Coturnix japonica: one gene and its partners. The protein of the gene in region 3 purifies or fractionates together with the protein of the main gene of each other region. This does not show direct contact. Links are inferred from orthologs where the notes say so. Each region holds a gene or a part of one and is shown on either strand. Other genes may lie near its edges.

What was found.
Region 1: the proteins of WDR5 (region 3) and PAXIP1 purify together in Homo sapiens (affinity purification with mass spectrometry; 7 studies listed by BioGRID and IntAct, counting the BioPlex papers as one, with this or other methods). This does not show direct contact. The link is inferred for Coturnix japonica from reciprocal best matches to the Homo sapiens genes WDR5 and PAXIP1.
Region 2: the proteins of WDR5 (region 3) and RERE purify together in Homo sapiens (affinity purification with mass spectrometry; 5 studies listed by BioGRID and IntAct, counting the BioPlex papers as one, with this or other methods). This does not show direct contact. The link is inferred for Coturnix japonica from reciprocal best matches to the Homo sapiens genes WDR5 and RERE.
Region 4: the proteins of WDR5 (region 3) and MGA purify together in Homo sapiens (affinity purification with mass spectrometry; 5 studies listed by BioGRID and IntAct, counting the BioPlex papers as one, with this or other methods). This does not show direct contact. The link is inferred for Coturnix japonica from reciprocal best matches to the Homo sapiens genes WDR5 and MGA.
Region 5: the proteins of WDR5 (region 3) and E2F6 purify together in Homo sapiens (affinity purification with mass spectrometry; 4 studies listed by BioGRID and IntAct, counting the BioPlex papers as one, with this or other methods). This does not show direct contact. The link is inferred for Coturnix japonica from reciprocal best matches to the Homo sapiens genes WDR5 and E2F6.
Region 6: the proteins of WDR5 (region 3) and BOD1 purify together in Homo sapiens (affinity purification with mass spectrometry; 3 studies listed by BioGRID and IntAct, counting the BioPlex papers as one, with this or other methods). This does not show direct contact. The link is inferred for Coturnix japonica from reciprocal best matches to the Homo sapiens genes WDR5 and BOD1.
Region 7: the proteins of WDR5 (region 3) and YAP1 purify together in Homo sapiens (affinity purification with mass spectrometry; 3 studies listed by BioGRID, with this or other methods). This does not show direct contact. The link is inferred for Coturnix japonica from reciprocal best matches to the Homo sapiens genes WDR5 and YAP1.

The regions. Positions count from the first base shown.
Region 1 is NC_029517.1:6,810,911-6,814,410, reverse strand, and holds part of PAXIP1 (PAX-interacting protein 1), read left to right. Parts: intron 1-163; coding exon 164-348; intron 349-470; coding exon 471-514; intron 515-1,252; coding exon 1,253-1,320; intron 1,321-1,704; coding exon 1,705-1,807; intron 1,808-3,500.
Region 2 is NC_029536.1:2,582,241-2,585,740, reverse strand, and holds part of RERE (arginine-glutamic acid dipeptide repeats protein), read left to right. Parts: intron 1-414; coding exon 415-528; intron 529-1,168; coding exon 1,169-2,547; intron 2,548-3,182; coding exon 3,183-3,405; intron 3,406-3,500. UniProt on the Homo sapiens protein: Plays a role as a transcriptional repressor during development. May play a role in the control of cell survival. Overexpression of RERE recruits BAX to the nucleus particularly to POD and triggers caspase-3 activation, leading to cell death.
Region 3 is NC_029532.1:5,717,867-5,722,013, reverse strand, and holds the start of WDR5 (WD repeat-containing protein 5), read right to left. Parts: upstream 2,801-4,147; 5' UTR 2,677-2,800; intron 1,009-2,676; 5' UTR 895-1,008; coding exon 814-894; intron 191-813; coding exon 82-190; intron 1-81.
Region 4 is NC_029520.1:22,380,097-22,383,596, forward strand, and holds part of MGA (MAX gene-associated protein), read left to right. Parts: intron 1-1,007; coding exon 1,008-1,528; intron 1,529-2,974; coding exon 2,975-3,260; intron 3,261-3,500. UniProt on the Homo sapiens protein: Functions as a dual-specificity transcription factor, regulating the expression of both MAX-network and T-box family target genes. Functions as a repressor or an activator.
Region 5 is NC_029518.1:88,734,210-88,738,319, reverse strand, and holds the start of E2F6 (transcription factor E2F6), read left to right. Parts: upstream 1-1,310; 5' UTR 1,311-1,547; coding exon 1,548-1,613; intron 1,614-4,110. UniProt on the Homo sapiens protein: Inhibitor of E2F-dependent transcription. Binds DNA cooperatively with DP proteins through the E2 recognition site, 5'-TTTC[CG]CGC-3'. Has a preference for the 5'-TTTCCCGC-3' E2F recognition site.
Region 6 is NC_029528.1:11,214,381-11,218,482, reverse strand, and holds the start of BOD1 (biorientation of chromosomes in cell division protein 1), read left to right. Parts: upstream 1-1,302; 5' UTR 1,303-1,378; coding exon 1,379-1,624; intron 1,625-2,133; coding exon 2,134-2,258; intron 2,259-3,782; coding exon 3,783-3,981; 3' UTR 3,982-3,983; intron 3,984-4,102. UniProt on the Homo sapiens protein: Required for proper chromosome biorientation through the detection or correction of syntelic attachments in mitotic spindles.
Region 7 is NC_029516.1:163,400,871-163,404,370, reverse strand, and holds part of YAP1 (transcriptional coactivator YAP1), read left to right. Parts: intron 1-1,067; coding exon 1,068-1,180; intron 1,181-1,827; coding exon 1,828-2,066; 3' UTR 2,067-3,500. UniProt on the Homo sapiens protein: Transcriptional regulator with dual roles as a coactivator and corepressor. Critical downstream regulatory target in the Hippo signaling pathway, crucial for organ size control and tumor suppression by restricting proliferation and promoting apoptosis.

The DNA of each region.
Region 1 (3,500 bases), on a different chromosome or scaffold from region 3:
TTGATATTGCTTGTTTTAACATGTAGAGCAAAAGTATTTTTGCCTGCTTTATTATTAAAATAGATAACTGGCCAACAAAGAAATACTGATATTTAAGTCTATAAGTATAAATGCTATGTATCTGTTTTATTAAAACCTTTTTTCTTCATCTCTGAATGATAAGACCCAGTGGCTTGAAGTATGAGAAAGCCAAAGAATGGAGAATACCATGTGTAAATGCACAGTGGCTTTGTGACATACTGCTGGGAAATTTTGAAGCTTTACGGCAGATACAGCACAGTCGATATACAGTGTTCAGTCTTCAAGATCCACTTTCTCCTAGTCAACATCTAGTTCTAAACCTGCTGGGTAAGTGTCCCAGAATTCTATGATCTGTAGCATTTGTTTATATAAACCTGTTTAATCAAGAGAAGCATCTTTATCCTTACCATAAATAATTGTGCACTTCTGTGGTGTTCTTCGTTTTGTAGATGCTTGGAGAGTCCCATTAAAGGTATCACCAGAACTTCTAATGGTATGTTTAGTTATACAGCTGTTTGTGTTAGATTGCTGCATAGTGTTTTTCACATCTGAGCACGTGTGCATTTAGTGTGAGGAGACCTGCCTGAAGAACCCACACAAACTGTCTTGGTGGCACTTGCTTTTAGTTGTCTGTTAGCATAAATCTTAAAAATAATCTTTTGTGGAACTAAGAAACTGCAGCGTATTATACAAAATTACTTTGGAAATATCGTGGCCTAGTTCTTAACTCTTTGCTTTTACATAAGACCTTTAGAAGAGGCTTTGTATTTTGGAGTCAATATCTAACACAATAACATTTTATATTACACAAAAATGCTTCGATCTAGCCTTTTGCATACCTCAGTCCATCTGTATACTTTCCTAAAGACAGGTGCTTAATAATTGTAATAACTTAATTAGTACCCAGATCCAATTTAAAGTATTAGTATAATTTGTTGACTTACTACATTTCAGCTTTAAAAGTAGCCACTATTTCTGTGTCTCTTACTGTGACTTTAGCTTCAAAACAGTCTTACACTTGCAGTCCCCTGTGAATTGGTATTATAGTCCATTAGGAATCTTAATTTTCTTTTAAGGAGTTTGTGTGTTTAATGCCTTCTCTAGCATGTCTTTATCATTTCTGTGTTTGAAGTATGATCTCAGAATGCTGCTGTACAGTTCTCCTGTTTCAGAATAGAAGTTGGGCTCCCTGCTCAGTTCAGGTGTAAACATACAGATGGTCTTTTTTCAGGGTGTGAGGTTGCCTTTGAAACCAAAGCAAAATGAATCCAGTCTTCAGCCATCTTCCAAAAGAGCCAGGTAAGAACAATCAGTGCCGATAGTCCCTCACTACTGTACCTTGTAACTGTGAACTGCTCAGCATTCTGGTTCCATGCCATGCCCTGCTAATTGAAATAACTAGTAGCATTTTTTTTTTTGCATATTGCCAGCTATTCAACAGGCTGAAATAGAATAGTAACTAAAGAGCAGAATAGGAAGAGAACTGGGAGAGAGCAGAATCAGGAGAAAATGCTCTGTTCTCAGCATAACAATTTTTTTTTATCTAGAAGATTGATCCTGCCTGATTCTCATTCATCTTTGTATTTTCATTCCTAAAATTTGCAGGAGTGTGCTTGTCTGTTTTTAAAGTAAGACAGTGTTTCACTCGGACTTACATTGTGCTGTATTTCATGCGTTTTGTAGGATTGAAGACCTACCACCGCCTACTAAAAAGCTTACACCAGAGTTGACGCCAATGGTGCTCTTCACAGGATTTGAACCTATGCAAGTTCAACAGTACATTAAGGTGACTTTTGCATTTACCTCTTGTAAACTATGTGGAAGCACTTGTGTTCTTGTTTTCTAAGACTTGATTAGCCTGCTTTTTTTTGAATAAAAACTGATACTGCAAGTGAAATCAGAATGTAGATTTATGTGAAATCAGTTTTGTTTGATAATTTTCCTGCTTTAGTTTACTTCATGCTTTTCTGCTACCTTCTTCTTCACTATGGTTGTTTTAAAAGACGAGGCCCTTTCATGTTTTGTGATGTTTTGTTGTTGTTTTTCTGTTGTTTGTTTTAATCAGCAAACTTCACAACCAAACTTTGGTGAGGAAGGTAGTGATTACTGTACTAGATAGGACCCAGACTACTTCTCATATAATCTCACATGCTTCAGAGGAAGCTGATAGGAGAACTAATGGCACACTTGAGATCATATGTTCCAAAGTTTTGTTCAGATCTTTCTTAAATAGCTCCCAAAACTGAATGATGTAAAAATCCAATCATTCCTTGAACTTTAACAATCACTAAGTATTAGTTCAAAAATAGTTTTTCATTTGTGATTTGTCACACGTTGGCTGAAATTTGAGACACAGAGGTGGTGATTTGTTTTTTTTTTTTAACTGCTGACCCCAGTAGGGCGTGAAACATCTTGTTGCTTTCACCTGCTCCAGATAAGCCAAAGCAAATGAAGACTAGTTTGATTCTCTGTTTCTTAGAAGTACATGTCACTTAAGCATACCCCAAATAACCTATTTTCTTCTTGAAAAATACTTTAGGTATGATCATGTAGTTGGAATTTTGAGTTTTTTTTCCATTATGGTATTTTTATTTGAAGCTTGATAGAACTTTGAAACATAAATAATTTTTCAGTTTATCTAGCTCAAGTTCCATTGTCTTCTCCCCATTCTGTCATGCTGATACCAAGTTGACTGTATGAAGAATGTTCATTAGAGCTATGGCTCACAAATACATCAAATAAATTTTTGGCCTCAAGGCTTGTAATGTTGAAACCAAATGTTGCAGGGATAATACCATTAAAAGTGTCAGTGTTTGAATACCTTCCTGAGGCAAGATACCTCCCATCTTCTTGAACTGGAGATTGTCTTTTTTTTCCTATACGCCCAAACGGATCCTTGAAATCAGAATGCAAATCTTGTAAGGTACTCACAGGTATACAGTGTTTGAGGTGAATATATATTATGGATGAAAACAACAGCTTGTACATTTCAGTGTGTACAACTTTAGTATTCACAGTGTGTTTTTGCATATCTCAGAGGAGTTTAGCAGTAGAGAGATGCAGTGTATTGGATAATACTTTTTTGTATCATCTTGATGTAAGCTGTCAAAACAAGCCAGCACAGTAAGGAAAAGCTTAAAACATTGTCCCTGTCTAACTTGTTTGTTACTATCAGAGCAGTACAGAGGGATGCCAGACATATTTCAGGGCTTCTAATGCATGCAGTGAGCCTTCTTGCTTTGTTAACATCTGATGTCTGATGTAATAAAATCACCCTCTTATGTTCAATTTTAATGCTTAAAAATCATGTGCATCTTAGCTGAGATGTCAACTCTGATGAGGTAGTTTGGGTTTGGTAATTCAGACTTAGTAAAAAAAGTGGTAGTTATTCAGTATCATCTAAAATATATAAGAAACAGATGCATGTAAAATATATGTGGCTTTCATGCAAGGAAATTTTGTCCTCTATGAATAAGAGT
Region 2 (3,500 bases), on a different chromosome or scaffold from region 3:
CGTTACTGTTTTGCTGTATGCAATTTACTTGTTTTTCAGAGCTAGCTGACACTTTAGGCTGTTTCACTAAGTGCTTTTCCATGCAAGCACTGATGAAACAAAGGCAGATGAAGAAAGAAGCTTGCATTAAGCACTGTAAATTGAATAGCAGCAAGTTAAAAATAAGTAACTATTTCAGGCTCTTAGCAGGAGGGCTCCATCCATGGCCTTTCTGTAGGACAGGAAAAAATAAGAAGTTGAGCAAATGCTGACTTGGCTCGGTGTTAAATACTGGAGATCTCAACTTCTGATAAGTTCTCCTGCTCCATGGGAGCCCTCCTTGTTTGTGTTCAGCATGAAAGCACTGACTTGTGCTTCATTTACTTCTGTGTTTACATCACTGGTAACTGTTCTCTTCTGCTTCGTTTGTGGCAGAAAATAAAAGAAGAGGTATCTTCCCCTCTGAAGAATTCCAAGAGGCAGCGGGAGAAGGCGGCGTCTGACACAGAGGAGCCCGAAAGGTCCAGTGCCAAAAAATCCAAAACTCAAGTGAGTATTTGGAGAAATATTTTCATTTTTGGGAACAGTTTGAGTGTGGGAGGGAGCGCAAATCCTCCAACAAACCCTGAACACAAAACCAATTTAGGCCACAGCAAATTTTAACTTAATCTGTGGCTAGAAAGCAACCCGTATTATAATGTGTTCCGTCTGTTGGAAAGCAGTGGAACAACATAGGGTAAGTTCAGGAGTCTGTTTGTTTTATACTTAGGCAATACAGGAGGAACTTACTTAGTTTATTTCCCCCCCCCACACGCCTCAGATGTTTTTTTTTAATTGAAATTTGGCTTTCCCTTTTCTTTGACAAGTTAGAACAACTCTGGAGTTGTCATAATCTAATAGTAGCTGGGCTGAGCCTTCTCTTCTCCAGGCTGGGCAGCCCCAGCTCTCTTTGCATCTTCTCCAGCCCTGCACTTAGCTTCAGAGCCCTACATTGGATTCTCCCCATGTGTTCATCTCTGGTTCTGGGGGGCCCAGAACTCTTGTGTGCTGTGGTGGTGCTGCCTGTGCTGCTTTGTCCCATGAGATTCAGGGGGTGGTTTTGTCACTCAGCATGTGTCCCAGATGCTTCTGTGTGACACACTGCATGCAGTTCCTCACGCACACCTGTTTGTCTCTCCTTCTCCCGCAGGAGATCAGCAGGCCGAACTCTCCCTCGGAGGGTGAGGGTGAAGGCGAGAGCTCTGACAGCCGCAGCGTCAACGACGAAGGGAGCAGCGACCCCAAGGACATCGACCAGGATAACAGGAGCACCTCACCCAGCGTCTACAGCCCTCAAGACAATGAGAGCGACTCAGATTCATCCGCTCAGCAGCAAGTGCTGCAGGCACAACCCCAAGTACTGCAGGCACCCAGCAGCTCCGGCCAGGCTCCTCCTCCCATGCCCCCCATCCCAGCCCAGCTGCCAGCACCGCTGCCAGCAGCCTCGAGTGCTTCTGCAGCTCCGACACAGGTTTCACCACCAGCATCCCAGGCCCCCAGCCAGCCCCAGGCCCCCGCGCCGCCTCCTCCTCATTCCCACATCCAGCAAGCCCCTGCTTTGCACCCGCAGAGACTGCCATCACCCCACCCGCCCCTGCAGCCTCTGAATGCATCTCAGAGCCAGCCCACCCCAGCCTCGTCGCAGCCCCATTCGCAGCCTCCGCTGCACACTCAGCCCCAGCCTGCCCCGCACAGCCTGCAGGCACAGCCCCTGCTGCCTCATCCCGTACCCCCCCAGCCATTCTCTCTCCCCACGCAGTCGCCTCAGTCTCAGGTTCCCCTTCAGACACAAGCTCCATCTCACTCCCACTCTGCACTGCAGGTGTCTCAGCCCACCCTGCCGGCCTCAGCCCCATTGCAGCAGGCCCAGCCTCCACGGGAGCAGCCACTGCCCCCCGCGCCCATGGCCATGCCTCACATCAAACCTCCCCCCACCACCCCCATCCCGCAGCTTCCCACCCCTCCATCCCACAAGCACCCTCCTCATCTCTCCGGCCCTTCTCCATTCTCAATGAACTCCAACCTGCCTCCGCCACCAGCTCTAAAACCCCTGAGCTCCCTGTCCACTCACCACCCTCCATCTGCGCATCCTCCTCCCCTGCAGCTGATGCCCCAGAGCCAGCCACTGCAGTCCTCGCAAGCCCAGCCTCCCGTCCTGACCCAGAGTCAGAGCCTTCCCCCATCCGCCGCTCACCCCCCGTCTGGACTCCACCAGGTATCCTCGCAGCCCCCCTTTTCTCAGCATCCCTTTGTGCCCGGAGCCCCACCATCCATCACCTCTCCTTCGTGCCCCTCCACTTCCACGCCGCCTGCCGTGCCCGGCATCCCGCTTCAGACTTCCATCTCCACGTCAGCAGCTTCTAGTGGGAGCGTGCCAGTGGTGACGTCCTGCACGCTGCCACCTATCCAGATCAAAGAGGAGGTCCCCGATGAGGCTGAGGAACCAGAAAGCCCCCCACCTCCACCACGGAGTCCATCCCCAGAACCAACTGTGGTGGATACACCGAGTCATGCCAGCCAGTCTGCCAGGTATGGAGGTTGGCAGCAGTGCTTCCTTGGTGCACTTCTCTTTAGCAGGACCCAAAAGCTTGCATCTCTCCTGCTTGTTACAGTGGAATTACTTTCTTTTTTATCAAGAAAATACTTTGTTAGGGACTTCCCCCTGCATTAAGCAGTGGCTGTGTTCCCTTCCACCCTTCCCAAAGATAGCTAAGGGAGATAAGTGAATCTTCCTGCCTCCCATTCCTGGTTCTTGCAGGAAGGCTTCCTGAGCTGAAATGCAAATGTTGCATGGTTAGAGTTCTCCTTTCTCTCCTAATTGTTGTCCTTATGTTGTCGGCTCAGAAGACTTCTGAATGCATGTGAGAAATCAGCTTCAGTAAGATGTGAATGTGTTTTACACGTGCATCTTGTCAGCCCTTGTTTTAATCAGGGCTTTGCTGTTCTTCTCTGTGAAGGTGCTTCTTCAGACAGGGGTATTGGAGGTTGTACTTGTGAGAGGGGTATTGTGCTCTGCTTGTCTGTGTTGTCACATGGCACAATTAATTCCTTTCGTTCCCTTTCAGAAAGTGTACAGTGATAACTTTTCCTCCTTGACATGTAGCTCTTAAACCTCAGACTTCCACCTTTCCAGAACTGATTTCTTTCTGTTTTGTTTCCCTCAGGTTCTATAAGCACCTGGACCGTGGCTACAATTCCTGCTCAAGAGCAGATTTGTACTTCATGCCTCTGGCAGGATCCAAACTGGCCAAGAAGAGAGAAGAGGCCATTGAAAAGGCCAAAAGGGAAGCGGAGCAGAAAGCCAGAGAGGAAAGGGAGAGAGAGAAGGAAAAAGAGAAGGAAAGAGAGAGAGAACGTGAGCGTGAAAGAGAAGCAGAAAGAGCTGCGGTAGGTTTATTTGTAGCTAAAAGCTGCTTAAGAGGGTTGACATGGATAGTGACTGCAAAGTGCACATCCCCACAGGTGCCTGAATGCACGTGCAG
Region 3 (4,147 bases):
CTTCTCCATCCAGTCAGTTAAGACAAGTAGTTCTACAAGGCCCGTATTTGCATTCTGTTGATGTAAGAAAGCAATACTTACAGGAGCTGGCTAACCACTCTCCATTAGGACTAAACTTTACAGATGATACCGCCTTCGTATGTCCCGCTAACGTGAACTTTAGAGCATAATTTGGTTTCACTGGTGCAGGCTGGAAGAAAAATACATATGAATGAGTTGAATAAATTCCCAATTTAGTTTCTCAGTGACAAGCTCAGTATCAGACGAGATCAGCACACATGAATACATACATTCACCTGAACAGATTCTACCATTTACATTCTCTCCCCCCACCAAATTCAACAAGCCCCCACTGGAGCCAGAAGCACATTACAGCCACGTGCCACCAAACTCATCCTGATCTGAATTCCCTTCAAGCCTGCAACTAACAGATGACAGTAACACAACAGTTCGAGCACAGAGTGTTTTGAGATTAAAATAAAACCTCTGGTGATGGTTTTATACTCTGTGTATAGTACTATGAAATGCCTGTAGTTCTATTCCTTGCTCAGAAGCAACCACAAGCCAACTCCCCCAGGCCCCTTAAAACTCTATTTCAACCAAATAATCAACCTAGCACTAAGCTGTACTCAGCCTGCTTTTCCCCTACAACCTTCAGCACACTTCCCTCTCCATACAACAGCAGAGGCAGACGTATTAAGAAGTTCTTAATGCATACTTGATTCAGTTCTCTAATTGCTGTTTGCCTGGTGCACGTGCAGGTATGCACCATGTGCATTTACGCAGGCATTGTTCAGAGCTCCCCACACACACCTTGCTCTGATTGGTTGAGGAGGAAGGAGTCGATTGTGTTTTGGTGGATTCTGCATCTGGTTTCTTTTCTTCTGTTGCCATGGTTCTGAAGCCGGCAAATGAGACCTACGGTGCTTGAAGGGGGAGAATGAACGTGCTGCTTCACAAGGCAGCCCTTGCCACGGGGAGAGGAACAGCGCTGCTAGAAACAAAACCCTGGAAGAAAAAGCAAACAATCACATTAACCATCAAAGAAGGATCAGAGGCAGCTAAAGGAACAAGATCAGCTTAACTGCAGGTCTGCAGAAAACATGATGAGGAAACATATTGTACGCCTGCTCAGCAACATGCCATTTTATGCCTACAGGTCTATTAGTGGTCTATCAAGAACCCAAATACAAGACTTTGATCAGCTCCTGCACAGCGTTTTTTGCTGTGTTTTGTACCAATCACTACAAATAAAGCAGAGTAGCTCTTAGAGGCAGTGGGTTTATCTTATATTCCTTGAAACATCTGTACAACACAGCAAATACAACACCTTATATATAAGGCATTTCCAAAGCTTAAAACCACACCAGGTTTGTTTTATTTTTCCATTTCCTATTTCAAGTACTTTGGTCTAATACCTTCCCCCTAAATGCTGTGAGCACCATATCCCTGCTTGAGAGATCCCCCTGCCTAACAGCAGCCCTGCATTAACCTCACCAGATCTGCTTTCTGTAGCAAAACCTGAGCAGTGCTGTGCTGTACCCTGCAATCAGGGCTGATGCTGCAGAGGGAACAATCACGCTGCAGTTCAGCTTCATTTCAGCAGTGTAACAGAATAACCCGCAGCTCACATTGTAAGGATTTACAAATCCTTTGCTATTTGCAATATCCCATCCCAAGCACAATCCATTTTGCTTGTGGCAGCAAATCCAAGAGGAACAGCATTGACTTTTCAAGCCACGATGCACATCTTGTCCTCAGGAGGGCACAGAGCTCAGTGCCACCAGTTGCAAGCTTTACAAGCACAGTACAGACTCCTTACTTACTGTTAATACCAGCAACTCCAGCTCTATAATCCAGATCTAATGCATTTCAACCTGAACTTATATGGGAACTTGAGCAAGCAACACAGCTTACCCCTTGCACCTCCTCATACAAACCTGAGCAGCAGCACATGGCAAGCTTCAAAGGGCCCTGGCTGCAAACACCCCTTTCTCACCACACCCAGGGGGGAAGCTCGTGTAAACTCAGCTTGTAAGCAAGAAACTTCCCGAAGGCTTTAGAAGCAGCAGCAGCCTGCAGGAATACACAGCCTGCAAGGATACACAGCCTGCAAGGATACACAGCCACGTGTGTGCACGTACATAGGGCGTGCACACATCCACAGGGCTGCACGCTCTACAGCGAGGCGTGGAGCAGCACAGAGCAATGGAGCTGCAGAGCAAAGCAATGGAGCTGCAGGGCAAAGCAATGGAGCTGCAGGGCAAAGCAATGGAGCTGCAGGGCAAAGCAATGGAGCTGCAGGGCAAAGCAATGGAGCTGCAGGGCAAAGCAACGGAGCTGCAGGGCAAAGCAAGGGAGCTGCAGGGCAAAGCAATGGAGCTGCAGGGCAAAGCAACGGAGCTGCAGGGCAANCTGCAGGGCAAAGCAACGGAGCTGCAGGGCAAAGCAAGGGAGCTGCAGGGCAAAGCAATGGAGCTGCAGGGCAAAGCAACGGAGCTGCAGAGCAATGCAATGCACACACAGAGCAATGCAATGCACATACAGAGCAATGCAAGGCCGCACGCGGCCCCCTCTCGCCTCAGAGTGAGGGCGGTGGGGGAGGGAGGAGAGGCGGCTCCCCACACGAAGCCGGAGCTGAAGGAACCCATCCAGCCGGGCTCCATAGTGACTTACCGAGGGAAGGGGAAGGGCTGGGTGCACACCCGGCACCGCCGCCTCCTCCTCCTGCCTCGGGAGGGGCGGAGGGGGGACACGGCGGCGGCGGCAGCACCGGAGCCGCCAGGCGGGGAATGTGGCACTGCGCATGCGCGATGTAGGCCAAAGGCTGCACAATGCCGCTCTCTCCCATGAGCGCTACGGTGCGGCCAGAGGGACAAAAAGCATCAGTGGGGGCCGTGCGCCTTAAAGGGCCACGCGCTTCTTTTTTCAGCCTGCTTCCCGCCTTTGGAAATGGCTCTGTGCTGAAGGCCTCCATCCCTCAGGTGTGTGCTCGCTGCCCTGAGGAATGAAGGAACGAAAGCACTGAAAATTCATGCTTAACCCACAATATTGTGAGGAGACTGAGCTAATCCGTAAGGTAAACAGCACAGCAGGCCACGTAATGCTGTTATACCGAGGGTAGGTGTGCGGCCTAGCCCTGCCTAGGGATATATTTAGCTTCCATTTAGCTTGCATGCAGATTCTCCTCAAATTTCAGTGTTTTTCTGGAAAACAGTGGGTTTTTTTCCGAACTGCTTTCAGTGAGAGGGAAGAAAACCAAGAGACACGTGTTATGTGCTGGCCCTGTAACACAGGAAGATCTGCGGGCTCCAGAAATGCTGGTGGCTGCTGAGAAAGGAAAAAAGTGATGGTGTAATGAAGCCAAGGCCCTTCTCCAGCTTGGAAACCCATAGCTGAAGTCTGCAGCTTTAACCCTGCCCTTTACCATGGGGGGAAAATACAGGCATGGAACTGTGAGAGATGCTCCATCCATCCTATGCTGTTAGGGAATAAATCCAGTTCTTGCCTTGGTGTATAGTCTTCATTCTGGAAAGAAAAGAAGACTAAATACCACAAATCAGCAGGGTAATGCTATACATTCATGCAGCTTTCTTGTGATAAGGGTAGGTGTTGCTTTCACATAGGAGACAAGAGCCTGTATTTCTGTACTGTGCCTCCTCTCGTTGTGGAAGCTTTTTTTGCCTGATATTTCATATATATTAATCTATATCTATACTGAATGATACCTTTCTGGAACTGGAAACTATAGTTTCCAATACAAATGGTAATTGTAATCCTAAGCAACCCCTTAGCCTCTGAGTGTCCTGGATTTATCTTTAACAAATGTCATAAATAGAGAATCTGCACGGACAGCCTGTTGTCTTTGGATGAAATTGAACTTGTGGGTTATGAGTCATCTGTGAGGGTCCTTCTTGCTCCGCAGGCCATGCTGCCACAGCTGGGATCAGCAGGATGTGATCTCTGTCCAAATTCCCTCTCTGTGAAAGACTGGGCCTTGGCAGGCTTCTCTCTCACAAAGTCTTTCATTCCTTTTGGTTCCAAATAGCCTGAACTTGGTGATCTGCCAAGTACATTGGAAAAGACACCTGTCTGTGAGGCTTCTGGGGGGCGAGAAAAGCTTCCCGTAATGCTGAAAAGGAAAGAA
Region 4 (3,500 bases), on a different chromosome or scaffold from region 3:
TGGTAATTAGATACTTAATAAGGAATGGAAATCAGAGGGTTCCTTCCCTACTCTCATTACTTTTTCATTACTTAAGAAGTAATAAGTTTACGTGTGGTTCTGTGAGTCTTGGACCCTCGTGTTCTTCACTTAGAAGTGTATGGGTCAAAGAAGTACCTCTACTTTATATGGAGCTGTTTGATGTTGGTTTATTTTAGTTGAAGTTGAAAGGTTGAACTGAATTTTTGCAGTACATTATGTATGAATGTGGCTTTGAGTTTGTAACTCATAAAGAGGAAGGTTTAGGCATCTTTGTCGCTTTCTGTTTGAAATGGCCCAAATCATGTTGCAGTTCTTAAAATGAGACGTACTCAAGGCATTGTGTCATCCACTAATGAAATACAGCTGCCCTTTTAAGCTGATTTTTTTTCCCACTGTTTAATGTATACAACAGCATTCTGTGTTTAAGGATGGGAATGGAAAAATAATACAACTAGTTGAAAACACTGAATTGGTATGTCAAAATTACAATGACCAGGACACAGGGCTCAACATCCTTATACTTTTGCAAAAAGTGGTGTTTGGATTTCCAATGACAGCAAAAAGTTGTACTTCTGTTAAACATCTTCCACAAAAGACAGTTCTGTTAGTGGCTTATTTGTCAGAAATAGCATTATTGGACGCTGGTCCTTTTCTGACTCCAAGAGAAAAGTACCATCTCTGGAATAATGAGTGATGCTTTCCATATTGATGTTGCTTGGAGGTGTTACATCCACACACTGAACCGGTCCAGCTTTGTTTAGCTTATGAGATGCTACGGGATACAACCTGAGATAGTATGGCTACACTGAATTAACTGTGGAAGTTAATGAATTCCCCTGTGCAAGGGGAAGTGATGTTTTGAACAGTTCTTTTTACTTGCCCTGCAGCTGAGACAAGGGTGGAGGTGGGCAGAGTAAAACTGTTTTGAATATCCAGGTGATTAAAATGCCACAGTATTGCAGAAACCTATTTCAATTCTTTCTCAGAGAAAAGTTCGTGGTCTTCCCATAGTGAGGGGGACTCTTCCTCCGCCTCCTGTGTTCATCCCACCACTCCATGTGCACCATCCAAACTTATCGAGATTATGTCTGACTGCAACTGGAATGAAGATTGCGATAAGATCTTGACCATCTTATCAAAGCACATCAACAGTAACATGCCACAGAGCCTCAAAGTTGGTAGCCTCATTATTGAATTGGATTCGGAACACAAAGCTCAGGATGCAGACAACCCTCCTGTGAACTCCTCCAGAGTGAAAATTTCAGTGCCATCCAACCAGGACAGTGATGAGAAGCCTGAGTCACCAGACTTGGAGACTCCCGATAGTGGAGTGCCATCATGTGATAAAGCAGAAAATGTAAAGTCCTTTCAGGCTTACACATTGGACAAGCTACGGGAGAAGTTGCATGGGGGCAAAGGCTTGCCTTTTTATGCAGGAATTTCTCCTGCAGGAAAGCTGGTTGTCAACAAACGCAAAGCTAATATGAGCCACTCAGGCTTGATTCAGGTGGGTCCCTCTGCCTTTACTGTGGAGATTAGATTCAGTTTCATCCAGTATCATAGAACCCCTTAAAGACGAGAGCAAACACTCTTTTAATTTGTCAACCTAGTCTTCTTACTGTCCGGACAAGATTTCTTCATATCCAGTGATGGTTCTGCCTCTCTGTAACTTTGTCCCTTTTAACAGGACATCTGATTCCAAGTCTGAAGTCTGGTGATTTAGGTTGGTCTTTTGGCCTTCTAGGTCTTGGTGGCGCAAGTGCAGAATGTTTCTCAAGATCTCTGAGCTTTTGAAAACTCCCTGCAGATGCATTTGACAGTTAACACTTCTGAATAAGTGGCTGTCAGAAGCCGCAGAAAGAGTATTTTTAGAGTAGGTGTATTCACTGGGACAAAACTTTAAAAGGAAACCGTAAACATTAAATTGCTTTTTATTCAGTTTGCTAGTCTTGACTAATAGCTCGTGTTGTCTTCTGAGTACATGTTAGTGATGAAGAGACTGAAATTCAGAGCATGTCATTTCTCTGCAGTCTCATGCTGCCAATGTGCTATTAGGGATTGCTGGCAGGAGCTGTAGGGCTAGGATCTCTTCTTTTTCAAGGATATTTTGTGGTCGTAGTAACACCACTTGCACTGGAGGTGTATGAATTAGAAAATGAAAATTGAGTGCATTTGTGTAATGCTTTGTAGATGCTTTGCTCTCCCAGGGAGAAGCTTGCAGAAAGAGCAGCCTAGAGGCAGACTTCCTGTTTTAAAGAGTAGAGGTCTTTTTCATTACGGTGTGTTACAATAAGTGCCTTTTAGAGGCTACTACTGAGCAGCCTGGAAGTAAAATGCAATACTGCCAACCAAATTAGTATGAAATTTCCTGCTTACCACTAGGCTTACAGCCTGGTATCCAGAAAAGTTTGTTTGTTCTCTCAGTTACAGCTGCAGATCTCAATGTGAGGTTGGTCAGCTTATGATACAGTACAGACAAGAAAAGAAAGCTGACAGAGCTTTTGCAGAGTCCTTAGAGTTTTGTCCCGATGTGTATGTATGTGTTCTTTCTTCTGTACTGTCAGGTGTTCATAGCTTAGAGAATTCTATCTAAAACTGTCCTCATATCTGGAAAACCACTCTTAACTCAGGACTGCAGTGTAAGTAGGAGAGAAAAACGCGTGCTAGCTTCCCTCTACTGAATTTCAGTGATTTCTTGTGCTCCTTTGAACTCTGTGGCTCTGTGTGAGAGTCTTGAGCAGCATCTAATATCTGTATTACAATGATATAACAGAGTTGCTTGAAGTTACTCTGAGCAGCAGGGAAATTAGGAGTTCCCATTCTGAACTGTAATGTGGCTCTTTGTTTTTGTTTTTTGAAGAGGACGCTTAGAAGTCCTGTGGAATGAAACACCTCTCCAGAGGTGGTGAACTAGCATTCTTTTCACAAAATTTCCCTTTTCCACTTTTTTCAGGTTAATGATAAAAGGTATCCTCAGGCCAAACTGCTTTTGGGACAGATGGGGGCATTACATCCCGCCAGTCGGCTAGCTGCTTATGCCACAGGCAGGCTGCGACCCACAGTACTTGATAAGTCAACCCTCAGTACTGTGATCTCCAAGGTAGCATCCAATGCTTCTGGGACACCATCAGTCCAGGTGCCCACAACATCAGCTCCCAAAACTACATCTTCCACCAGCACTACTTCAGACCCCAGTGTGAAGACTCTGAATGCTCTTTTCCCACCACTGAGACAGATAGGTAGGTTGGAACTTATTACTGTATTTTAAATTGCGTGAAGGTAAAATAAAAAGCAAGTGTACAGCATTGCTGTTGATTTCTTAGCAACAGTACCTGCTGCCTTTGGCTGACTTGCCAACTAAGCTGCCTCTGCAATAAATAACCTCTCTAAAGTAGAAAGGTTTATTTTGAGTTCACAGTAAGACTAGTGGTGTTGACTTCAGTTATTTTACTAACAATACTAGAGCATATTTTCAAGAA
Region 5 (4,110 bases), on a different chromosome or scaffold from region 3:
AACCCGGGTCATTCTGTGATTCTGTGTGATTCTGTGATATACAAAAATATAGACAGATACTTGCATCCATATGATACTTACATGTATAATTTGTCTTTAATGCTTTCATACTTATTCACTTTTTCAGGACAATATTAGCTTTGGCTCATCTTTGCAATTGCACACATGCATCTACAGGAAAGCCCAGCTGCAAGATTTCATTTAAGGGGAGACTGCATTTGAAACCAGAAAATTTTAACGAAATCATTGTTGTAGGTTATATGAATGTTAAAACATCCCATTCAGCAAATGGAATGACCGCCCTCTGGTGGTGGGTCGAAAATCGATCCAATTGGAGAAGATATGCCTCCAGTTGAGTATAACAGCAAGAGGATAATCTTCATTCCTTATTGGACTGTACTTTCTGCTATTGAATACTTAGAGAGCATTATGTTGCCCGTAAGAAAGTGTGTGTTTTTAGGTATCAGTGATGTGTCACAGAAGCACACAGAATCACAGAATGACCCGGGTTGGAAGGGACCTCAAGGATCATGTAGTTCCAACCCCCCTGCCTGGCAGGGCCACCAAACATACACCTTTACTAGATCAGGTTGCCCAGGGCCCCGTCCAACCTGGCCTTGAACACCTCCAAGGACGGGGCATCCACAACCTCACTGGGCAGCCTGTTCCAGGGCCTAACCACTCTCCTAGTGAAGAACTTCCCCCTAACATCCAACCTAAATCTTCCCTCTTTTAACTTAAAACCATTTCCCCGTGTCCTGCTATTATCAGCCCTTTCCAAGAGTTTACTCCCCTCCTGGGAGTAAGTTCCCTTCAGGTATTGAAAGGCTGCAATGAGGTCACCCCGCAACCTTCTCTTCTCCAGGCTGAACAAACCCAACTCCCTCAGCCTGTCCTCATAGGGGAGGTGCTGGAGCCCCCTGATCATCTTTGTGGCCCTCCTCTGGACCCTTAACAAAATCTCCATGTCTTTCTTGTACTGAGGGCTCCACACCTGGACACAGTACAACAGATGGGGCCTCACAAGAGCCGAGTAGAGAGGGACAATCACCTCCTTATCCCTGCTGACCACCCCTCTCCTGATGGAGCCCAGGATCCCATTTGCTTTCCGGGCTCCCAGAGCGCACTGCTGGCTCATGTTGAGTCTTTCGTCCATCCCCCTGTGCAGCCTGTTCCATTGACCCCCACACAGCGCTCAGTGATGAGGGCACTGAGGTAACGATGCACACGGCGCTTCCGCTGCGAGAGAGCGGGAAATCCCCGCGGCACCGGATTGGTGCTCGGCCTTTGCGTCACCTTGGCCAGGTGCGCGCATGCGCAAACGCTCCATCCGCCGCCCGGCCGCCCACAGGTGGGGGAGGGTAGGAGCGGCCGCAGCGCTGAGCCCAGGCGGCCCCGGCACCCCCTCCACCCGGAGGTGGGGCGGGGATGGAGGCGCCTTTATCCCGCACGGGCCCCCAGCAACATCGGGTAGGGTTTTGAGTGCTCTGCCGTCTCATCGAAGTCCGCCGCCGGCGTGAAGGAGGAAGAGGAGGGGGCGCGCCAACATGGCCGCCGCCTCCAAGTGGGAGCGCCTGAGGCCGCTGCGGCCGGACACGCTGCGTCTGAGCGCGGTACGGAGCGGGCGGGGAATAGGGATGGAAATACAGCCTGGGAACGGCCAGAGGGCGGGGCTGGGATGGGCTGGGTTGGGGCTTGGATCCTGCTGCGGAGGGAGGGAGGGGTGTGTGGGGAGGGACGGCGCTGCGGGTTGCTGGGAGCGGGAGGACGTCAGGATAGAGCTTTTCTAATGTAGCTCTTTATAGAATCACACAGAATCACAGAATGAGCCGGGTTGGAAGGGACCTCAAGGATCATGTAGTTCCAACCCCCCTGTCTCTTTACGGGTAGAGTGGAGAGGTTTGATTTAAAACTTGGTTTCCCAGCCAAAATAGGAGTGCTTCACCACCAGTGCTTCTAATTAATGGGTACATATGACTGCAGAGAGTTGAGTGGTGGACTTAATAGAGACCCAGTACATTTTAAGCGCTAAAATCTGGAACGTGATGAAATGTAATCCCTTAAAAAGCTGTTTTAAAAGAGAAAACAGTTTCGGTTCTGTCTCTTTACAAAGAACAAGTTGACACGGTGCCAAAAACAAAAAATGCAGAACTAGAAAGAGGAGACAGAGCTGCTGGGGGCCATTGGGAAGGACAAGGAGGAGGTGGTGAAGCTGGGACCGAAGCTGGGAAGGCAGCGAAGGATGGTCGGAAAGTGGCATCGGCAGCCGAGGCCTATGGGGAGCTGTGAGGCAGAGTGGCCTCGTGAGGCTTATAGAGGTGTTATAGGCCTTGTGGGTTGGGTTTGTGTTCTGGGCCCTGTAGGGGGGATCCCAGGGCCTTCTAGAGCCTTTGTGGGGGGAGCATTCAGGAGTATAGGAGCATAGAATCACACAGAATCACAGAATGACCCAGGTTGGAAGGGACCTCAAGGATCATGTAGTTCCAACCCCCCTGCCTGGCAGGGCCGCCAAACATACACCTTTACTAGATCAGGTTGCCCAGGGCCCCGTCCAACCTGGTCTTGAACACCTCCAAGGACGGGGCATCCACAACCTCCCTGGGCAGCCTGTTCCAGGACCTAACCACTCTCCTAGTGAAGAACTTCCCCCTAACATCCAACCTAAATCTTCCTTCTTTTAACTTAAAACCATTTCCCATAGAGATCCCGTAAATGCTGTAACGGAGGAATTGGGGCCCTATAGATTCTATAGGGTGCTCCCAGGACACCATAGGGCAACAGAGACTCTTTACAGTGCCCTGTTGTCCAGGGCTCTCTCCCTCTCAGGTATTTTCTCAGACCTGAGTGCACTATTTGCAATCAGCCTCTCATCAGACTCTGGTGATGTTAAGCACCAAGTTAACCTGGTCATCTAGCTCAGGTCTGCTCCTGTGCTGTCCATGAGGTATGTAGCAAGAGCTCCACCTGCTTGTATGTCTGCAGCGTGCTGTGGGGACTGAGTGCAAGGCGTGGGGAAGGGCTGAGTGGCTGTGCTGGATGGTGACTGTACCACCTCCCTTGGTAGCCTTTTCCAATGGATCACCACTCTTTCCAAGAAAAAAAACAAACATTTTCTGGTATTGAACTTGAACCTCCCCTGGCACAGCACGTGCTTTGGGACTTTGGGAGAGCAGACTTCGGGACTCAGCTTATTCAGGCAACACATCACTGAAATATTGGGAGAGGCAGCTTGGAAAGATGAAGGGGTGGAGGCCTGTAAGGACATCATCGAGGGTGACTGGAGCTTTTTAACTGCCAAGGAAGGGTGAGTGAAGGAAAATGTGAATTTGCTGCTAAGGGGAAGAAGTGGTTTAGTGAAAGCAGACACAGATAAGGCTGGAGATGTTAGAAACCTCTGGGAATAGGCTGGAGGGATGGATCATCAAGGAGATGATCAACTTGAACAAGGAATTTGAAAATTAAGTCTGAATCCTATACCTGGAAGTGTAACTTGATGTGGTAAAGGCTGGGAAGTGAGATGTTATGGAATTATCCTGCTGAAGAGTCCTGTCCTGACCTGAGAATCTGTATGGACAGTGGGCTAAACATGAGATATCGGTATATCCTGCACTGAGGTGTATGCAGTTCTCCTTTGCTTGTCAAGTATTTGCTTCTGTGGGTGTGGGAGCCATAGTGGTGAGGCTGGTCTCTTTTCAGCAGTGCATGGGGATAGGACTAGGGGTAATGGGATGAAAGTACAGCATAGGAAGTTCCGCACGAATGTGTGGAAGAACTTCTTTACAGTGCAGGTGATGGAGCACTGGAACAGGCTGCCCAGGGAGGTGGTGGAGTCTCCTTCTCTGGAGATATTTAAGACCCGCCTGCATGCCTACCTGTGTGACATGGTGTAGGGAGCCTGCTTTGGCAGGGGGGTTGGACTTGATGATCTCTAGAGGTCCCTTCCAACCAATTCTGTGATTCTGGAGTGCTGTGTCTCATTTGGGACTGACCGATACAGGAAGGATGGTGATAAACTTGAGTGCAGCCATCAGCCATCTGTCAAAAGTGGCACATGTGTTAAGACACGTAACTGAAGGAGCATTTTAAGCCACAGCAACCCACGACTAATTG
Region 6 (4,102 bases), on a different chromosome or scaffold from region 3:
GTGGTTGGATTTATGAGCAAAAATTTCTTCAGAGAAGAGATAGTCTGCGTAGGGCAAGGTTGGATGGGGCCCTGAGCATCATAGTGCCTGATTTAGTGGTTGGTAGCCCAGCCTGCAGGCAGAGGGTTGGAACTAGATGGTATTTGAGCTCCCTTCCAAACCAAGCCATCCAGTGGTTCTACACTTAATGAGCTCTGTCTAATCTTCCATTGGGGCTAACAATGACTTTTTTTGCCCTCTCTCCTTACCCTGTTCCCAAACGCAGAACACATAGGCAATGGGAAAATCATGGTCCCAGCTCAGTGCTCTAATTTGCAGACTATGTGTGTATGAGAGTACATCTGTGTACAAAGCTTCATCTGCCTTCCCTGCAGTGTTCCCATTATCCCCTGCAGTGCCCAGCTAACACTGCCTGCCCTGGATCTCTGTGTCTGATCATTGGTAAGATAAAACCATTAGAAACTGGAGTCCACAACTGGCAGCTGGTTTTGTGGACAGAGGTTGCCAGGAGAAGGAAAACCACCTACTGTGTTGGTCATTTAGCACTGATACAGGAGCTGGAAAACCCATAGAGAGGAATATGGTCCTTCTCCTCTTCCAGCCATGATGGCTCCTAAATCCTCCCAGTGTCCAGTGAGTCACATGTAACCTAAGGAAGAAACCTTATCAATCATATGGAACCAATGGTACTATATGGAATGGACAAAGGTTCAATTTTCAATTATATTGTATTAGATTGTGTTATCCTGTATTTCAATATAGTATTTTAGTAAATAAGTGTGCCTCCTTAGATCATTGCCGCTGTTTTCTTTTCCTAATTAACTTTTTCCTTTCGGCCTTGGGCCCCTGTGGGGCCCACAGCCCCGTGTCATGGATGCAGGTGGATTTTTGTTTAAACCTGTGGTTTAAGGGCAGTGTTTCCTTTAGGTCATTTCATACCATCATAGAATGGTTTGGGTTGGAAGGGACCTGCAACACAGTCCAGTTCCAACCCCTGTGTCTATATCTACACCTCCACCTCCACCTCCCATTAAACCAGCTCAGCCCTGGCAGCCCCTATGGGGCTCTGTGCTGTGTTCTCAATGCGATGTGACAGGGCCCAGCCGAGGGACGGCCTCGGGGTGCCCTCTACCGGGGGCCGCCTTTCGTATCCCTCCAGGCGGTGCAGGCCGCGGGCAAGGCCCCGACCCAACCGAACTACATTTCCCGAGATGCATCGCGAAAGAGACTCTTTCCTCCCCTTCCACCGTGCGTTCGCGGTGCACTCTGGGAGATGTAGTTCCCACGAGCAGAGCGAACCCACACGCATTACGCAAAACGCAGCGCGCCGCCGTGGACGGTCGCAGCCGTTGTTGGGCCTCGGGTTCATCCGTTCGCCATGTCCGACAGCGGCAGCGCCGGTGGATCCGCCCAGGGAGGAGGAGGAGGAGGCGGCGGTGCGGGAGGTGGAAGCGGAGCGGGGAGCTCGGGAGGTTCAACATCGAGCTCCGGGCCCGGAGCCACCAACCCGGCCTCGCTGCCGCCCGGAGACGCGCAGCTCATCGCCATCATCGTGGAGCAGCTCAAGAGCCGCGGGCTGTTCGATGGATTCCGCAGGGATTGCCTGGCCGATGTGGACACCAAGGTAATACGGCTTAAACTTCCAGTTGTGTTCAGCCAGAGCCCCATTGGGACACCCTGCAGCTGTAGAACCACCCCAGAAGCAGCCATAGGGCTGCCACGGTGAGATCAGCGCTGAAGGATAGGGACACACAGGCTGGTTTTGCAGCCTGGGTCACTGCACTTATGTTACATTCATCACTACATGTGTCTAAATGATGAAATTCCTTTGCACCTGGCTGCACACACAGCTTGCATTTCACTGAGTAACATTATGAGCAGACAGCAGTTATTAAAGAAACCTATCCTGCTTCCTAACTATCCTATTCAGTTATTGTAACGCTACTGTGACAACCAGTTCTTTGCAATTACCACTTACGGTAAGTACAGGCTTAGCTTTGTTCAGAAGGTGAAGGGATGGAGCATATGGACAACAAAACAGTGGTGTACACAACAAAAGAAGTACCAGGAAAGATTCTGGCAAGGAATTTGAGATCTTTTACCAGCTTAATGGGATTTTACTCTTTTTTTTAGCCAGCCTATCAAAATTTGAGGCAGAAGGTGGACAACTTTGTATCAACCCATCTGGACAAACAGGAATGGAATCCAGCAATGAACAAAAACCAGTTACGAAATGGGTTAAGACAGAGTGTGATTCAGTAAGTAAGCAATATTCCGTGTACTACCGTATCGTTGATAAACAATACACAACAATCTATCCTATCACAGAAGTCTTATAATTTGCATAACAACCTTCTGTTGTTGTTTCCAGCCACTAGCAGGCAGTAATGGAACTAGGCTGGCTTGATTTCCTGCAGCAAATGGATGGCTTTTTTCAGCTTTAGAAGATATGCTTCTAGCACAACAGGAAAGCCTGATTGAACTCTCCTGCTTAGACATTTAGGTTTTGTACCTCTTGCTGCTAATTCATCATAGCCTGAAGTATAAACCTTAGATTGTTTGGCTAAAGGTCATGGATAAGAACATCACAGCTCTAGGGAGAAGGCAGTAATGAACTTTATAATGGCAATTATGCTTGTAAAGAAATTTATTAGAAAGCCTTGCACACAGAAGAAGCTATTTCTCTTGATGGATGCTGTGAAACAATAGTATTTAATGTTAGTTTCAGTGTTTCTTCGTTAATGATAGAAGAGAATATTCACTGCAAGTACAGAATTTCCTGTCTATACTTGAAGCCCTTGGCGCTTCTGTCACTTCAAGCTTCCTCTTATTTCATACTAATCAACCACAGAAATGAAATGGCAATAGAAAAATGTTGTATCAGAGTCTGTAGAAGATAAAGTGCTCACTTTGTATAGACTACTGGTATAGAGAGTAAACAAGCAGCTATAGGAGTTTGAAGAGTCCACGTCACTACTGCGAGTACAAGACTGAGTGCTGCAGGCCATCAAGGCATGCCTCTAGATAGCTGCCCTTTGTTGGCTGCACGTACACACATGCTCTTTCTTACTTGGAGGTGACATGATGTGCAGTGACCCTGCACCCAGTTGCTCACCAGTATCCACAGCATTATTAGTCTTGTGGCTGCTTTGCTAAACACCAGGCACTGTCTCCATTTCCTGGCCCCTGCTCCTTTGCAGACATGACTTAAGCCCTCTAGACTGCCTGTGCCCTGCAATCCAAGAGTCTGACGCAGCCCCTGAAGCAATAAGTCATTTCAGTTTTTAATGCTGAGTTCCAGAAACGTTGCCGTGTGCTACGTGTGCTTGTTTGTTTAATTAATACCCATCCGTCTAGACTAACAGTTACAAGGAGTGAGTGACAGTAATGTTAGTAGGGAGAAGGCCTTTTCTCCCTCAAGTTAGCCAAAAAAAAAGACTGCTCTCAGCTGCCCTCCTCAGAATAGTTTGTTTCTTTTGTTTGTGGCAAAATGTGTTGACCTCGTTTCCACATAAGCCCTATTAAAGTGGTTCTTGTCCAATATACCATGTAAGTACCTGGAAGACCAGATGTCAGTCATTAATTCTATGGGGAGAACTGTGAGGGGGTTGGGGAGAAATAGGTGTTTGAAACAGTTCCCTGTTAAGGATCTTCTGAGTGGGTTGCAGTTCTCACCATGTTAATGCTAATTGCAGTTGACAGCAGGGCTCTAGAGAGTTACTGGAGGAGATTGGGGAGAAGTTTTTCAGAGGAACTGAATGACTTCTTTGTCTTTGTTCAAGGTCAGGAATGCTGGAAGCTGGAGTGGACAGAATTATTTCTCAGGTTGTGGACCCAAAGATCAACCACACATTCAGGCCCCAGATAGAGAGGGCGATTCATGAATTTTTGGCTGCACAAAAGAAAGAGGAAAGCGTGCCAGCTCCTCCTCCAGAGCCCGAGAATAAAGATCCTCCTGCTCCATCTCAGGATGCGTCCTAAAGGTCTTGTATTTCTGCACTTACTACTGTTTCCGTGTACCTCATGTCTGTAGTTTGTATAACGCAAAATAGAGAAGGCGTTGTATTCTTTCTGGTTTGACAGGGAGGAGGACACTTTGATC
Region 7 (3,500 bases), on a different chromosome or scaffold from region 3:
GTTGAAGCTTGGCTGTTAGTAGACAGAAGAGGAGGGAGGTAATGGTGTAGTTCTACAGCTGCTTCCGCTTGTGACCGTTTTGACTGGTGGGGCTGTTTGCATCCTTTCAGCTATTACAGCAAAATATTTTCAGATGTATGCCTAAGTATAACAAGTAGCAGCTCCTTCCAGCTTCTGGAAATAATTATTCCAGTCAGGATAATGATTTTCACTGTTGTATATAAACGTTTCTTATTGTTCTACTTTCAAAGAAATAGTTTATGTGACTTATAAGAAAGTCAACTGTAAACTGGATCCCCCCAGCTGATTGTAGGTCATCTGATTGGCCTGTTCTTCCCAGTCCCATCCCAAATTTCCATTGCAGCTCCCTTGGTCTTGTCTGCTCCACTGGTAGTAAGATGGCAGCGAGAAAACTAATATACGTAAGGCCCTGTGCCATCTTGCTAACTGTTCTGTCAGCAAGATCATTCTGAACAGGATTTGTTTACAGAATGGCTTCTGTACAGGATTTGATTTATATCAGGGCCCTCTTGCCATGACATGTACGACTGAACTGGTAGTAATGCAACAGCGGGAAGCAACTGAAGAATTGCTAAAAGAGTTCCAACTGTAGCTCCTATTTATAACAGCACTGACCTAAAAATGCACTTTGGTGGCTGATTAAACAAGGGGACATTAGTAGTTAGAATGCTCCTAATCCTTACTGAAGTGTGAAATGTACACCATTATTAGCTCTGTAATGGTTAAGGACTGTGATATGCTTCGAATGGTTTTTAGCTGTGGGTGGGTGTGAAAAGTTTAAAACAGTGTGGAACATCGATAGGCTGTTTCTTAAAGCTGCTTAGGTATGTTCTTACTGAGTTAAATTGAACCTCAGTGCTGTGGTTTTCATTGGGAAAGGTCAGTGTAAAATGAAAAACTGGTGTCTCACACAGACTTCAGCTTTTAATTAGAACGGAGCATTTCTTGTGACAGCCACGTTATCAAAACCCCTGCACTGGGGTGTGCAACTATTTTAGTTTCTCCGATGCTCTACCCTCATTTTTGTTGCATTTTTTCTGTTACAGTGGAACATATCACTCCAGAGATGAAAGCACAGATAGCGGACTTAGCATGAGCAGTTACAGTGTACCCAGAACCCCCGATGACTTCCTGAACAGTGTTGATGAGATGGATACAGGTTTGTTCTCCTTAATACACCCTTTTCAGTCGTGCTGGTATCAAATGCTCAGCCCCTTTGCAGTGAAAACAAGTGATTCTGAAAAGCTCCAATGTTTTTTGGGGGGGGGGGGGGGGTTATGTTTGTACTACCTCCTTCTATTTCTATTGCAGAACTATTATAGTTAAATTTGTGAAAAACATCCTTGTAATAAATTCTACTGGAAGGCTCATAAAGGGAATAATTCCTGCAGCTATATGGAATTTGAATACCCATTTGCTTTCTTAAGAAAGCAAAAGTTCTAAGCTAAGAACTTACTCAGTATTACTATACTATTATTATATAAGTATGCTTAATCAGTATTGCTAATGTTGCTCCCAAATTATATTTGACTTGTTATTGTCTTTTATGCATAAAAACTAAAACATGCTAAAAGATCAAAGATCTGTAAAGATTCAGGTTAAGACATGAAAAGTTTGAAACAAAGGCAAGTTCTTCGTACATCTGCATGTAGCCAAGTCATCTTTAGTTTTTGTGATGAATTTCTATGAATCACAGTTTTTGAGTGATGCAAAGGATCCAGGATTAACCTTTAACCAGTTGTGATTAATTGTGGGTTTGGTACTTCCAGTAAATTGAACATCCATCTTGCTTTTTGTTATAACTAGGTGACAGTATCAGCCAAAGTAACATACCGTCCCATCAGAACCGATTCCCAGACTACCTTGAAGCCATTCCAGGGACAAATGTGGACCTTGGGACACTGGAAGGAGATGGGATGAATATAGAAGGAGAAGAACTGATGCCAAGTCTGCAAGAGGCTTTGAGCTCTGACATCTTAAATGACATGGAATCTGTCTTGGCAGCCACCAAGCTAGATAAAGAGAGTTTTCTTACTTGGTTATAGGGGCCTCAGGGAGACTGAATTCTAAATCTGTGAAGGATCTAAGGAGAATAGGACATCTGTATCTGAAGTTCAGAGCAAGCCAGTGTGGCACACTTTGGCTTGTGTTCAGAAAAAGTAAATGAACAAATATTCAGCAAGATTCTTTCGTTTTGCTCTTCCTTGTCCATCGCTGCTGTTATATATTGCTGACTTTTTTCCACAGTTGACTCTGAAGAACAGACATCTTCTTGACCTTTTTCTATTGCTGTTGCAACTACTGTTGGGGGGTGGGGGAGGGAACGATGAGCCTATTTGAATGACGAATGCCATTCCTTTTGTCCTAGTGTGCGCTTGCATATCATTTTTATCTAAGTACTCAGATTTGAGAGTAAATTTCTGCATGTCACTGCTTGTAGTTTGCTCAGCTAGTTGTCTCCTGCTGCCTGTGGAAAGTGGTAAAACGTGACATACTGGAGTGACAAGCCGAAAATGATGTATCTGGTCAAATGAAGTCAATACTGATTTGGAGATACGACCTAAAGGAGGGCTGAAAACTGGCATTAGGTGTTTCCACTAGTAGCTCCTTCATTAGCCATGAAGTGCTCTTGTTCATATTTTATGTTATAGTAAATCATGAGTCCTTTTACATAGAAACATATATGAACTTTGATTGTTGCCACTTATTCTAGCCTAACTCTTGTTTGTCAAAAATAGTTTGATTATTTTTGTTAGTTGATTTAACTGTAGCTATAGGATGGGAAGTAATTCTAGGTGTTCTTTTTTTAAATAGTGAAATCTAAGGGTTTTTTTTTTTTTCTGATTTCACATAGTCTTATTTAAATCTGAATTGTCTGCTTTTTTTTTTATACCTAAACCATGCCTATTGTAGCGCAATAAGCTAGTGAGTACATAAAACAGTATGTTTTGCCCGTAACTTTTCTATTTTTTTTAAAGGCTAGCTTTGAATGTAATCCTTAGGATCCATGACCAGTGGCTTATTTTTCATGTTTCTTTGCAAGATATTGAATTAGAAGCTAAGTGCGCTATTTACGATTTTAAAACGCATTTTGAAGTAGCAGAAACAATTTTACAGTGACCGAGATGCGTCCAAGCTCACCTCTGGTTTTCAGTTTTGTATCTGAATGAGTTTAGATTCTTTAAGGGGAAAAAACCTTCTGAAGATTTTCTCCTGAGTTAGTGTGGGAAAATGGTCTGAACTATGAACATCACTGTAAGCTGCAATGAAAAGGCTAGAAGACCAAAAAAAATAACACAAGAATCCTCAGTAAAAACTCCGAAGTGTAATAGTTGTCAAATTCCGTTTGGTGAAAAATAAGCCCTGGGCACGACGTAGAAGTCTGTAAAGATACGTGTTAGATGGTGACGTGAGCAAGTAATGAAGTGTATATTAGCAGTAGAGCTTAGCATTGGGTAGAGGTGAATATGAGTTACCTT